3 linked regions of the Mus musculus genome follow. The protein of the gene in region 1 purifies or fractionates together with the protein of each later gene. This does not show direct contact. Links are inferred from orthologs where the notes say so. Each region holds a gene or a part of one and is shown in the gene's direction. Other genes may lie near its edges.

The links.
Region 2: the proteins of Elavl1 (region 1) and Igf2bp1 purify together in Homo sapiens (co-immunoprecipitation; 3 studies listed by BioGRID and IntAct, with this or other methods). This does not show direct contact. The link is inferred for Mus musculus from reciprocal best matches to the Homo sapiens genes ELAVL1 and IGF2BP1.
Region 3: the proteins of Elavl1 (region 1) and Trim21 purify together in Homo sapiens (affinity purification with western blotting; 3 studies listed by BioGRID, with this or other methods). This does not show direct contact. The link is inferred for Mus musculus from reciprocal best matches to the Homo sapiens genes ELAVL1 and TRIM21.

The regions. Positions count from the first base shown.
Region 1 is NC_000074.6:4,304,284-4,308,268, reverse strand, and holds part of Elavl1 (ELAV-like protein 1), read left to right. Parts: intron 1-3,238; coding exon 3,239-3,342; intron 3,343-3,985. UniProt on the Homo sapiens protein: RNA-binding protein that binds to the 3'-UTR region of mRNAs and increases their stability.
Region 2 is NC_000077.6:95,967,852-95,971,836, reverse strand, and holds part of Igf2bp1 (insulin-like growth factor 2 mRNA-binding protein 1), read left to right. Parts: intron 1-1,045; coding exon 1,046-1,168; intron 1,169-1,852; coding exon 1,853-1,988; intron 1,989-2,915; coding exon 2,916-3,038; intron 3,039-3,354; coding exon 3,355-3,474; intron 3,475-3,985. UniProt on the Homo sapiens protein: RNA-binding factor that recruits target transcripts to cytoplasmic protein-RNA complexes (mRNPs). This transcript 'caging' into mRNPs allows mRNA transport and transient storage.
Region 3 is NC_000073.6:102,559,859-102,562,874, reverse strand, and holds part of Trim21 (E3 ubiquitin-protein ligase TRIM21), read left to right. Parts: intron 1-856; coding exon 857-1,087; intron 1,088-2,259; coding exon 2,260-2,282; intron 2,283-2,806; coding exon 2,807-2,907; intron 2,908-3,016. UniProt on the Homo sapiens protein: E3 ubiquitin-protein ligase whose activity is dependent on E2 enzymes, UBE2D1, UBE2D2, UBE2E1 and UBE2E2.

The DNA.
Region 1 (3,985 bases):
GAGACCTCTCCTGGATGCTGGTTGTACCCCCTCCCTCTTTTAGGAGGAGCTGTAGGAACACAATTCTGCCACCTGTTTTCTGGCTGACCCAGCATCAATATCACTCTCCTAAAAAGTTCCCAGATGTTACTGGTGGTCAGAGGCCAGATGCCGGGGTGGGGGGTGGGGGGTGGGGGTGGGGGGTGGGGGGTGGCGCTGCTGCACTGGAGAAGCCTCCACATGGAGGTAACATGTATGTTACCTTGTTAAGTGTTCTGTGTTACACTTGGACCAGAATCTTGCATTTCCAAATATACAGTGGTTATGGCCGAAAAGATGTGTCTGCTTTCTGATTTGCCATGCTCTTTGTGCTTCTAGGAACTGGGAGCTAGCTGCAGGTCAACCTGGGGAGGGATGGAGAGTAATTGGAGAGATGGGGATAGAAGAGATTTATCAAAACATTATATTCAAATATGAATTTTTACTTCATGTGATTTCTTTTACCTGCATATATGTCTGTGTAAAGGTGTTGGATCCCCTGGAACTGGAGTTATATTCAGTTGCAAGCTGCCATATAGATGCTGGGAATTGAACCCAGGTCCTTTAGAAAAACAGCCAGTACTCTTTAATCATCTCCAGCCCCATATATAAACATTTTAAATTAAAAAAGGGAGGATTTGTGATTAAGGAATCTGGCCTCAACACACATAAGTACATGTGTACACAAACACACTTTTTTTTTTGAGTTTTTCAAGACAGGGTTTCTCTGTGTAGCCCTGGCTGTCCTGGAACTCATTCTGTAGACCAGGCTGGACTCAGAAATCTACCTCCCTCTGCCTCCCAAGTGCTGGGATTAAAGGCATGCACCACCACTGCCAGGCACAAATTTTTTTTTAATGAAATGTGGATTTCTATAAAGACTTTGAGAGGGAGGCTAGCCTTTGAAAAATTGCAGATAACATATGTAGTTTCTGTGCCCCAAAGAGAAAGAACATAATTTAGGACTTGTTTTGCAGTATCATCTGTCGAAACAATGTGATAGTGGAAGAGGGTCACCTCACAGACCATCCTAGCCAGGTAATCTAAGCCAATATGTTGTTGGTAGCATATGCACTTGGCCCTTGAAAGGCTGTCATGAGAGCCTTACCTCTTTTTCCTTCCTCCCCTAAACTTAAATCACCATAGTAAACAAAAGAAAAATACAAAACAAACTAAATTAAGGAACAGTACATGAGATACAGACCAGGCCCCCAAACTGAAAGTTATTAAAAGCAAGGACAGGGCTAGAGAGAAGACTCAATGGTTAAGAATATTAGCTGTTCTTCCAGAAGACCCAAATGGCAGCTCACAGTCAGTGAATGTGACAGTGTCTTCTGGCCTCCATGGGCTTTATACATACATAGTTTACATATTTGTACAGGCTAAATAACTATAAACATAAAATACGGTTGGGGAGTGGGTTTTTTGTTTTGTTTTGTTTTTGTTAAAAGCAAGAATGGTCTGAGATACTACCCAGGGGAGTTTTGGGATCGGGGGCTAGGGGGATGACACTAAAGGTTGTGTGGGGTCCTAGGGCAGAAAGAGGCATCAATGAGAAAAACTAAAGACATAGGAATTAAGTATGAATCTTTAGTTAACATTAAACAAGTACTTGTCACTGTATAAAATATGCCATGGTAATGGAAGATATTTGTAATAAAGGAGGGTGGGGGCAAGCTGGAACTTGTAATTTGTTTAGTGCCTTTTTTTTTTTAATCTAAAATTGGCATTAAAAAACGTCTGCTGGGCATGGTGGTTCTTGCCTTTACTCCTAGCATTTGAGAGGCAGAAAGAGGTGGATCTCTGTGATCTTGAGGCCAGTTTAGTCTACAGATCAAGTTCCAGGATAACCAAGACTACACAGAGAAACCCTGTGTGAAAAAACAAAAGCAGTATTTGAGGAAGGTGAGTTAACAAAATGGCTTGCATTTGAAAGCACTACCACCAAGCACTACCACCAAGCATGACAGCCTGAGTTCTGTGCTGGGACTACCATGGTGGAAGGAGAAAACTGATTCTTGAAATGTGCCTATTTTCCAAATACTTCTGTGCCATGGGTGCACACAAATACAGTAAAACAAGTTTTAAAATAAAATGTTGGAAAAGTGCCAATACAACTTAAAGAAAATAGGTTTTCTAGTTTGTTCTGGTTTTGTTATCAGCAGAGGAGATGACTTCCTGGGTTTTGGTTGCAGCAGACTCTCAACACGAAAGTCTCTACACCCAGTGGGTTTGTCTTACAGGCGCTCTCTGAAGTACCCAGAACAGAATGAAGTGTCTGCATGAGCTGGGAGGATGTGAGTCAAGTTTGTCATGGCTAGACATCCACTAAGACTCCTTCCTGACACTCCAGTAGCTCTTCCTCAGCCTCACCCTACATGCCATGTCCATACCCAGGTAGTGGGTGTTCCTGCCTGACTTGAGTATTTGGGGTCTTTTGTTGCTACCTTAATTTTTATGCCTCTCAGCTCTCATTCCAAATTTATGCTGGTGACATTATTATAGTAGACTCTGCTTCCAGGAAGAGCTGGGGGAGCTAGGCCAGGACTGTGAACCTGTGACCAGGGCCACTTAATAGGCTTAGTATATTCTCAGTTCAGCTTTTCCCCACCGCTTCACTGAGCCCAGTTGCTCTATACTCAGGAAAGAAAGGGAACCAGTACTAGATGGCGCCAGAGCCTAGGAGGCCTTCTCCCTAGGAATTCAGGTTTCAGAAATTAACAGACTATATAGCCACTGGTCACTGCTTTCTCTTCTGTCAGGCCTCATAGTACAGCCAGCACCATTGGGATTACTAGGCAACGTTTCACAAGATGCAGTCAGTAACACATCATTACTTTTTTTTCCTCTTCAAGAAACAAGGTGTCTATTTTGTGTGTATGCACATGCACAATAGCTCATATGTCAGAGACTAACTTAACGCAGTTCTTCTACCACGGGGCCTCGGGTATTGAACCTACGTCGTCAGGCTTGGCAGCAAGCACTTAACTGTCTGAGCCTTCTCACTGGCCCAGTTTTTAAGGAACTTTTAATTACAGGTTACCTTTGTTAGTTGCATAGATATACAAGTTTGCACAGAAAAAGTTTGCCACCATCTCAAGAGTGGTTTCCCAGTGTGCCTCCCTTGGCATTTTACTGTGTTACCCTGACTTTGCCCATGTACCTCCCCTTCACCTGTTCATTGGAAGCTAGTTTACCAATGTCATGTTCTCTCTTATAGGACACAGCTTGGGCTACGGTTTTGTGAACTATGTGACTGCAAAAGATGCAGAGAGAGCAATCAGCACACTGAACGGCTTGAGACTCCAGTCCAAAACCATTAAGGTAAAGAGTCTGTGTTGATCTGGAGGACAAACCTTAACTAGACCAGAATGGGGTATTAGAGTACTGTAGACTCAGTACCTACAGGTGCTAGGTGTATTACTCATGAATGGGGTGCCAAACAAGAGCAGTTATGCTTTAAGAGACCCAGAAGCCAGGTACATTTCTGTCCCTGCCTTGTTGCCCCCTGCACTTGGGTACTTTTTTTGAAGGCTTTGTTTACATGCACATCCTAACCAGCCACAGATCACAGCTCTTAATAGTTAACTTATCTGCTGTGTTCTCGCTGGTTCTGGTGTTGTATTCTGGTTGCAGAGAGCAGAGTGACATGTTCTGCATCTCTATGCCTAACCATCTATCTCTTCTCTGTGACAGACTGGCAGCTACAGAGAGCAGATGGACTAGTCAGGCTCAGGTGCAGATCCATAGGCCTTCTAGAGCCACGTGACTCACAACTCACACTTAACAAAGGAAATCATAGGTTAGATCCTTGCACAAAGCATCTCAGGCTCCTTATCACAGCCCCACAGAACCCCACAGAGGCCCAGTTTAGGATGGGGAGCTGGCTTTTCTTTTTCTTCTCGTAAATGAAATGGCTTTTCCAGGGTGGGGGTGGAAGGAGGGCAGAGCTAGAGCTTGAAAGTGG
Region 2 (3,985 bases), on another chromosome or scaffold:
CATGGGTATCTTCTCACACACACGCACGCACACACACACACCACACACACATACCACACACACACACACACACACACACACACACACACCATACACATACCATACACACACTACACACACACACACACCACACACCATACACACACACCACACACACAATCTTTTAAAGAGAGTGGGTCTCCACAGGCTGTGCACTCATGGTCCTCTTGAGTCTGCTGATGGATAATTCATGCATCATCACGCTAAGTTTTCATTGGTTTCCTTTTTCACTTGTTTGTTTTTTGAGACAGGGTTTCTCTGTGCTTTTTGTTTGTTTAAGATTTATTTATTTATCTTATGTATATTAGTACACTGTCACTCTCTTAGACACGCCAGAAGAGTGCATTGGATCTTATTACAGATGGTTGTGAGCCACCATGTAGTTGCTGGGAATTGAACTCAGGACCTCTAGAAAAGCAGTCAGTGCTCTTAATCACTGAGCCATCTCTCTAGCCCCTGGTTTTTGTTGTTGTTGTTGTTGTCTTGTTTTTTATACAGGTTTATTAGGGTTCAACTAGTATAACAATGCTATGTTTGTTTGAGGACATTGCCTAGGTTAGCCTAGAATTTCTGGATCCTCCAGCCTCAGCCTTATTAGCTGGGACTATCGGCAGATGCCTACAGGATACACTGGGTGTCTTTTCTGCTCCCTTACCCCCTTCAACTTAGGGTTAGAGCCTGGGCCTCATGCATGCTGGACAAGCTAAACAGTACTACTGCGCTAAACCCTCAAACACAACTGCACATATATTTTGAGTGTGTAGTTGTATGGATTTCGATTTGTATGTGTTGATAATGTACCTGCTGACCGTGATCACAGTTGAGATAATGCTGTGGCTCCCAAATGTCACCCTGCCATCCTCATCCGCCATTTCTGTTTACAGAACACCGATCTCTGCTGGGCTTGTATCCTGACACTTGGCTCAGGGTTTTTTCTGGGTTCATCACATAGTTGGGTAACCTTTGTTGACATCATTGACCGAGCTGTCCCCTACTTCCTTTCCAGGGCAGATGAAGTTCCCCTGAAGATCCTGGCTCATAACAACTTCGTCGGGCGACTCATTGGCAAGGAAGGGCGGAACCTGAAGAAGGTGGAGCAGGACACAGAGACGAAGATCACCATCTCATCGTGAGTTTCTCCGTGATTCCCTCCACAGCAGTGCCGAGCTCAGGCTGGGGTCACAGCAGTGCCGAGCTCAGGCTGGGGATGAGGGACCTGCCACTGGGCCTTAGCACCTCCCTCTTGGGACAATCAAATCGGAGACGTGAGGAGAACATTTTGTCCTGCTCAATGAGGGCTGGAGCACCCTAATACCTGCCCTTGGTACAACATTCTAGACACACGCATCCCCACGAAAGCCTGCAGCGAAGGTCTGGCCTTTAGGTGTGTCTGCCATTGTACAAGGTGTACAAACCTTGGTTCTTTTCAGCTGTGGCACACAGGGCTGCCTCTGAAGAGCAGTGACAGGAGTGGGTTAGCTGCCTGTAAGCAGCCTGCCTCTCCATTCCTTAGAGCTGTTGCAGAGTAACTATTGCACAGTAGCACATCAAGTTCTGCCTGCAGCCTCTGTGTGTCTGCTGACCACAGCCTTTCATGATAGCCTGTGTTCCCACAGACGGAGTTGTTGTGAGTATGCTTAGTTTCCTTGCCCTGGTTACCTGAAGCCTGGAGATAGGGCTTCCCTGCCGGAAGTTAGACGTCCTTTAGAACTGCTGGACCAGTAACTCAGTTGTCTCCGGCTCTGCCCCTAGCTGGGGTCTGGCTCCCGCCCTGTGCTGCCCACTGCTTGACGTTGTCTTGCTCTCTTGCCAGGCTCCAGGACCTCACGCTCTATAACCCTGAGAGGACCATCACTGTGAAGGGCGCCATTGAGAACTGTTGCAGGGCCGAGCAGGAGATCATGAAGAAAGTTCGAGAGGCTTACGAGAACGACGTGGCCGCCATGAGCGTGAGTGCGAGGCGGCACCGTCTGCGTGTGTTGTTGGGAGTTGAGTCTAGGCCTTGGAGACAGGCGAAAGTGATACCTCTGGAGGAGCTATATCCCAAGCTCCTCTTGCAGCCTTCTCTGAACTTAGCAAGGGTTTTGCTCGCATCTATCTCAGGACACTGTGTGCGTCCCAGGTTCCCAGAGGCTGGAAGAGGGCATTGGATTCTCCAAAACTAAAATTACAGATGGTTGTGGCCCACCATGTGAAGTCCTTGAAGAATAGCAGTGCCCTTGATCAGTGGGCTACCTTTCCAGCCCCTTAGTTTGTGCTTTTGGACTTAACTCATCTAAGTTTGTTTCTGTGGAGGTGGTGGTGCTGGGGATGAAGTCTAGCGTCTTGTACATTGTAGGTAAACAGTCTGTTGTTGGCGTGGGTAGCTGTATTTACTCACAAGGGCTCGTTACATGGCTGCTGGGTTGGGATTGGGGGCAAAGTCTTGGGTTTCATGGATTCTGTACTTTAACCACTCTGTGATCTGTGTGATTTGATCTAGTTAAGCTTGTATACTGTAGGAGATGAAGGATCCCAACTTCAGCTTTTTTCTGAGACAGTCCTGCGCTCTGCTCTGTAGGCTAGAACTGAATTCACTCCTGCCTTAGTTTCCCGAGTGCTGGCCTTACAGGCATGTGCTACCACGATCTGCTCATAGGATTTTCCGTTTTTTTAATGTGTCTGTGTGGGTAGTTCGGCGTGTGGGTGGGTGGTTAGGCGTGCATATGTAGCAGCTTGAGGGGGACATTAGGGGTCATCTTCTTATTTCATATAGACATGGCTTTTACCAAGCCTGGAGTTTGGTGGGTGACAGACAGCAAGACCTAGAAATCCTGCCAGAGCCGCATGCTAGGGTTCTGTCAGCAGGCTGACCTGTGCCTCGCCTCTCTCCGCAGTTGCAGTCCCACCTCATCCCTGGGCTTAACCTGGCTGCTGTAGGTCTCTTCCCAGCTTCATCCAGCGCTGTCCCTCCTCCTCCCAGCAGTGTCACCGGGGCTGCTCCCTATAGCTCCTTCATGGTAGGTGGAAGGTCTTGTTACCCAGGGCTTGGGACATTGGCAAGAGGGAGGGAAGAGAGGCCTCTGCAGCCAGAATGCCAGCTACAAGGAGAAGAGCCCAGCTGAGGCGTCGGCAGCAGCTTTCCACTTGGTTTTAGCTCCCTTTAGTTGGAAGGGAGAGAAAAAGAGTTCATGGCGTCCTCCTATAGCCCAGGGCGCAGCTAGGTATCTGCACCTGTTACTTTTGGAGGCTGTATGGCAGCCCAGTGGAGGGGCTCCTGGGTCCTGCCTCGCCCCCTTCCCTGGGCCTTTGGTAAGGAGTCCCCTGTTCTGGCAGCAGGCTCCGGAGCAGGAGATGGTACAAGTGTTCATCCCCGCCCAGGCTGTGGGCGCCATCATTGGCAAGAAGGGCCAGCACATCAAACAACTCTCCCGCTTCGCCAGCGCCTCCATCAAGGTGATTTGTTCTTGAGTTCTCCTAGGTCTAGTATCAACTCCAGCCCCCTTCACACGTCACACTGGGAGTGAAAAGCCCAGTCCCTTGCGGGTGTCTTCAGTGCTTCTAGGTTTCCAGGCTGGACAGGTAGCAGGACTAACACACAGCAGGCTGAGTGAGATTCTGCCACAATAGACCTCCTCCCAACCCCATCCTTATCGCCTGCTGCCGAGTCTCAGTGTCACACTGCCTGGTGTGGCAAGTCTGTCAGTGTCCTTGTGTGGGAGGCCAGGAAGCAGGTGGTGCCTCACAGTGAACACTGCCTGTGCTGGTTGTCTTTTAACCATCCTGGATCCAGGATCCCAGAGAGCAAGGAAGCCAGTGCTGTTAACCTCACAGGTTTCTTTCAATGGTGTTTAAAGCTTTGTGATTTCCTCCCAACCCCAAGAGAGCTGTAGCCTCTGCATGCTCTACCCAGTCAGTCATCTCGTAATTCCCTGCCTCTTGCCAGCACTCATCTGCTAAAACCCCC
Region 3 (3,016 bases), on another chromosome or scaffold:
GGTCTGTGATAGGAAGTCCACCTGACCTGGTGGCTGCTTGATGGTGAGCAAGTTATTAGTCCAAAGCCTGCTAGGGACCTAAAGCCTGTCACAGTGAGAATTTGCTGGTAGAAAATGAAATGCATCTGAAACTGGGTAGGAATGAGAGGCTCACAGCCAATCACAGACCCCAAATGAGTAGCAAAAACTTGACCCTCCCAAGATGGCAAAGACTGTTTTCCTGGGACCACTGCTTTCCACCCAGGGTATCAATGGGTATGGGAACAGGTCTTATGCTCTACAACTTGCTGAGATAGTAAGACAGAGGAACTCACATGGGCGTTAGTAGCTTTTGGAAGAAAGGTTGAGAAAATATCTGGTGCCGGAAGCATGCGTAGGTGGGGGGGGGGGGGGTCTAGGGGACAGACACCACCCAAGCTTAGGAAATTTTTATGGGAAAACTCTTGATGGTCCCCAATGAAGGAGCTAGAGAAAGTACCCAAGGAGTTGAAGGGGTTTGCAGCCCCATAGGAAGAACAACAATATGAACAAACCAATACACCCAGAGCTCCCAGGGACTAAACCACCAACCAAAAAGTACCCATGGCTCCAGCAGCATATGTAGCAGAGGATGGCCTTGTTGGATATCAATGAGAGGAGAGGCCCTTGGTCCTGTGAAGGCACTATGCCCCGATCTAGGGGAATGACAGGGTCAGGAAGCAGGAGTGGGTGGGTTGGTGATCAGGGGGAGGGGGGATAGGATGAGGGGTTTTTGGAGGGGAAACCAGAAAGGGGGGATAACAATTGAAAAGTAAATTAAGAAAATATCTAATAAAAAGAAAAAAGAAAACCTCTTGTCTTCCCCTTGCCACCACAGAGGAACATTGACACCCAGAAGTCGAGGATTCACGCAGAGTTCGCACTTCAGAATAGCTTGCTGGCTCAGGAGGAGCAGAGGCAGCTGCAGAGGCTGGAGAAGGATCAAAGGGAGTACCTGAGACTCCTGGGGAAGAAGGAGGCTGAGCTGGCTGAGAAGAACCAGGCCCTGCAGGAGCTGATCTCAGAGCTGGAGAGGAGGATTCGTGGTTCAGAGCTGGAGCTACTGCAGGTGCGACCCCTGCGCAGGCACAAGGAGTACCTTGGGAAAAGCCTGCGCTATATGGAACGGCTCTTAAAAAATGTGCTTGTTGTGTTTCTGTAAACTACCTACATTATCTTTAATGTGCTCTCGTTCTGCAGGTAGTCTCACTCTTTTCCCAAAATAAACTTAAAATAATTTTTTTCCGAAGCATAGGAACTAAAATAATCATGTATTCGTACTACTATTCTTTTTTCTAATTTTTCCCATAATGATGATAGCTCAGGTTCCTAAAGGGCACACTAGTGGCCTGCCAGGCTCAGGTTAGTACCGCTGCAATCTCACTCCATGGAAGAGAAAATGTTAATGGAATTAGTGGGAGATTCCCGTTAACTTACATCAGTTTATCTAAGTAGTAAGAGGCAGAAATTAAGATGACAGATTGTGTTTTAGAGTCAGTTCATACTCTAAAGTTGCATCCATTGCATCCACCCTTGGTATATTAGCCTGGTGTTGGGACACTCTAGGTTTCTTTTCTCATACCTGTGTCACTGTCTCAGTCAGATGCATACAGACATTTCTTTCTGCTTTGTATAGAAAAACTGATTGTATTGGTTTGACTTGGCAGGCTTCCTCTTGCCTGTCACTGAACTGAGCTTCCTGGTGCCTTTTTAAGGAGCCTAGGAGGCTGCCAGTTCAAATGTTATGGCTGTCACTGCCTGAGAATGAATAGTCTCACTTGAACTCACTCTAAATAGTGAAGAGGATTAGCCACAGCACAGGACAAAGCTTTTAACCAACTAGCCATTCCTCCACAAACAGTTCAAGCCCAAAAATAGCAGGGAACCTCTCTGGACATCTACCTAAGCCATTCTCTGCCTGAAGCTACCTCCCGGCTTCAGTCGGGTTCTGTTGTTTATCTTCCTCTTCTACTGGCTCCATGGCCAGCCCCGCTCCTCCAAGAACCCAGCCCTTGTAAGTCTCTTTCTCTGTCAGTCTTTAAATCCCTGGTCATGGCTAAAGGCCATAACCACGTTGGCTTCCTAGATATTCTGTGAGCCATCACATGCCATTTCTGGTAACGGTTTGTCAGAGTTATCTTTGGGGCCTTACCCAAGGGCGATGTCACATGGCCCCAGGAATGGCATCTCAGTGGTCAGTCAGAAACTCCAGAGTTGACTGTCTGTCTCTTCTCTCCTCAGGAGGTGAGGATCATCCTGGAAAGGTAAGGAAAGGGACCAGGAAGCATGTGTGCATAGAAACCTGGTCCACTCTAAGACGTTCTCTGCTTTCAAATGGCTAATGAACATATCAAATGATGAATTGCCCGATGAATATCAATCATCTTTGTACATTAAAAGTCTCCCACCAGAAAGTGGTAATCTGAGTCTGCTAGAACTCTCCTACGGAAAGACATTCATAAGTAATGAGTAAAACCGACAGCATGGCCAAGAGTCCTCCAAGTTCTTCACAGAAGTCATTCCACCTGTTAGATGGTTTGCTGTAAAATTAAATAAAATCCACAAGGCCATGACTTTGGGCTCTGGAAAGAGATGGAGATTTATTTGAGATTCCTAGAACTTGGAACTCCTAGATAGGAACTTTTTTTTCCTTTCCTGTGGACATTGAATGCATGTGTATTTGTATATTGGTATTGAGTTTAATTATTGAGCCGTCCATGAAGGAGAGCACTGGGGCCTAAGGTAGAAGATAGGAGCAGGAAGTAAGATTCTCAAACTCTTTCCCTAGGAGTGGATCCTGGAACCTGGACACGTTAGATATTGACGCCCCAGACCTAACAAGCACATGCCCTGTGCCAGGGCGGAAGAAGATGCTGAGGACATGTTGGGGTAAGGCGACATCTAGGAATTGTGGGCTAGACAGAAAGGGATAATGAGAGTGTGGAGTGGACAGTCATGAGGAACCCAGGGTGGTAATGTGTGGAAGAGGTGGCAAGTG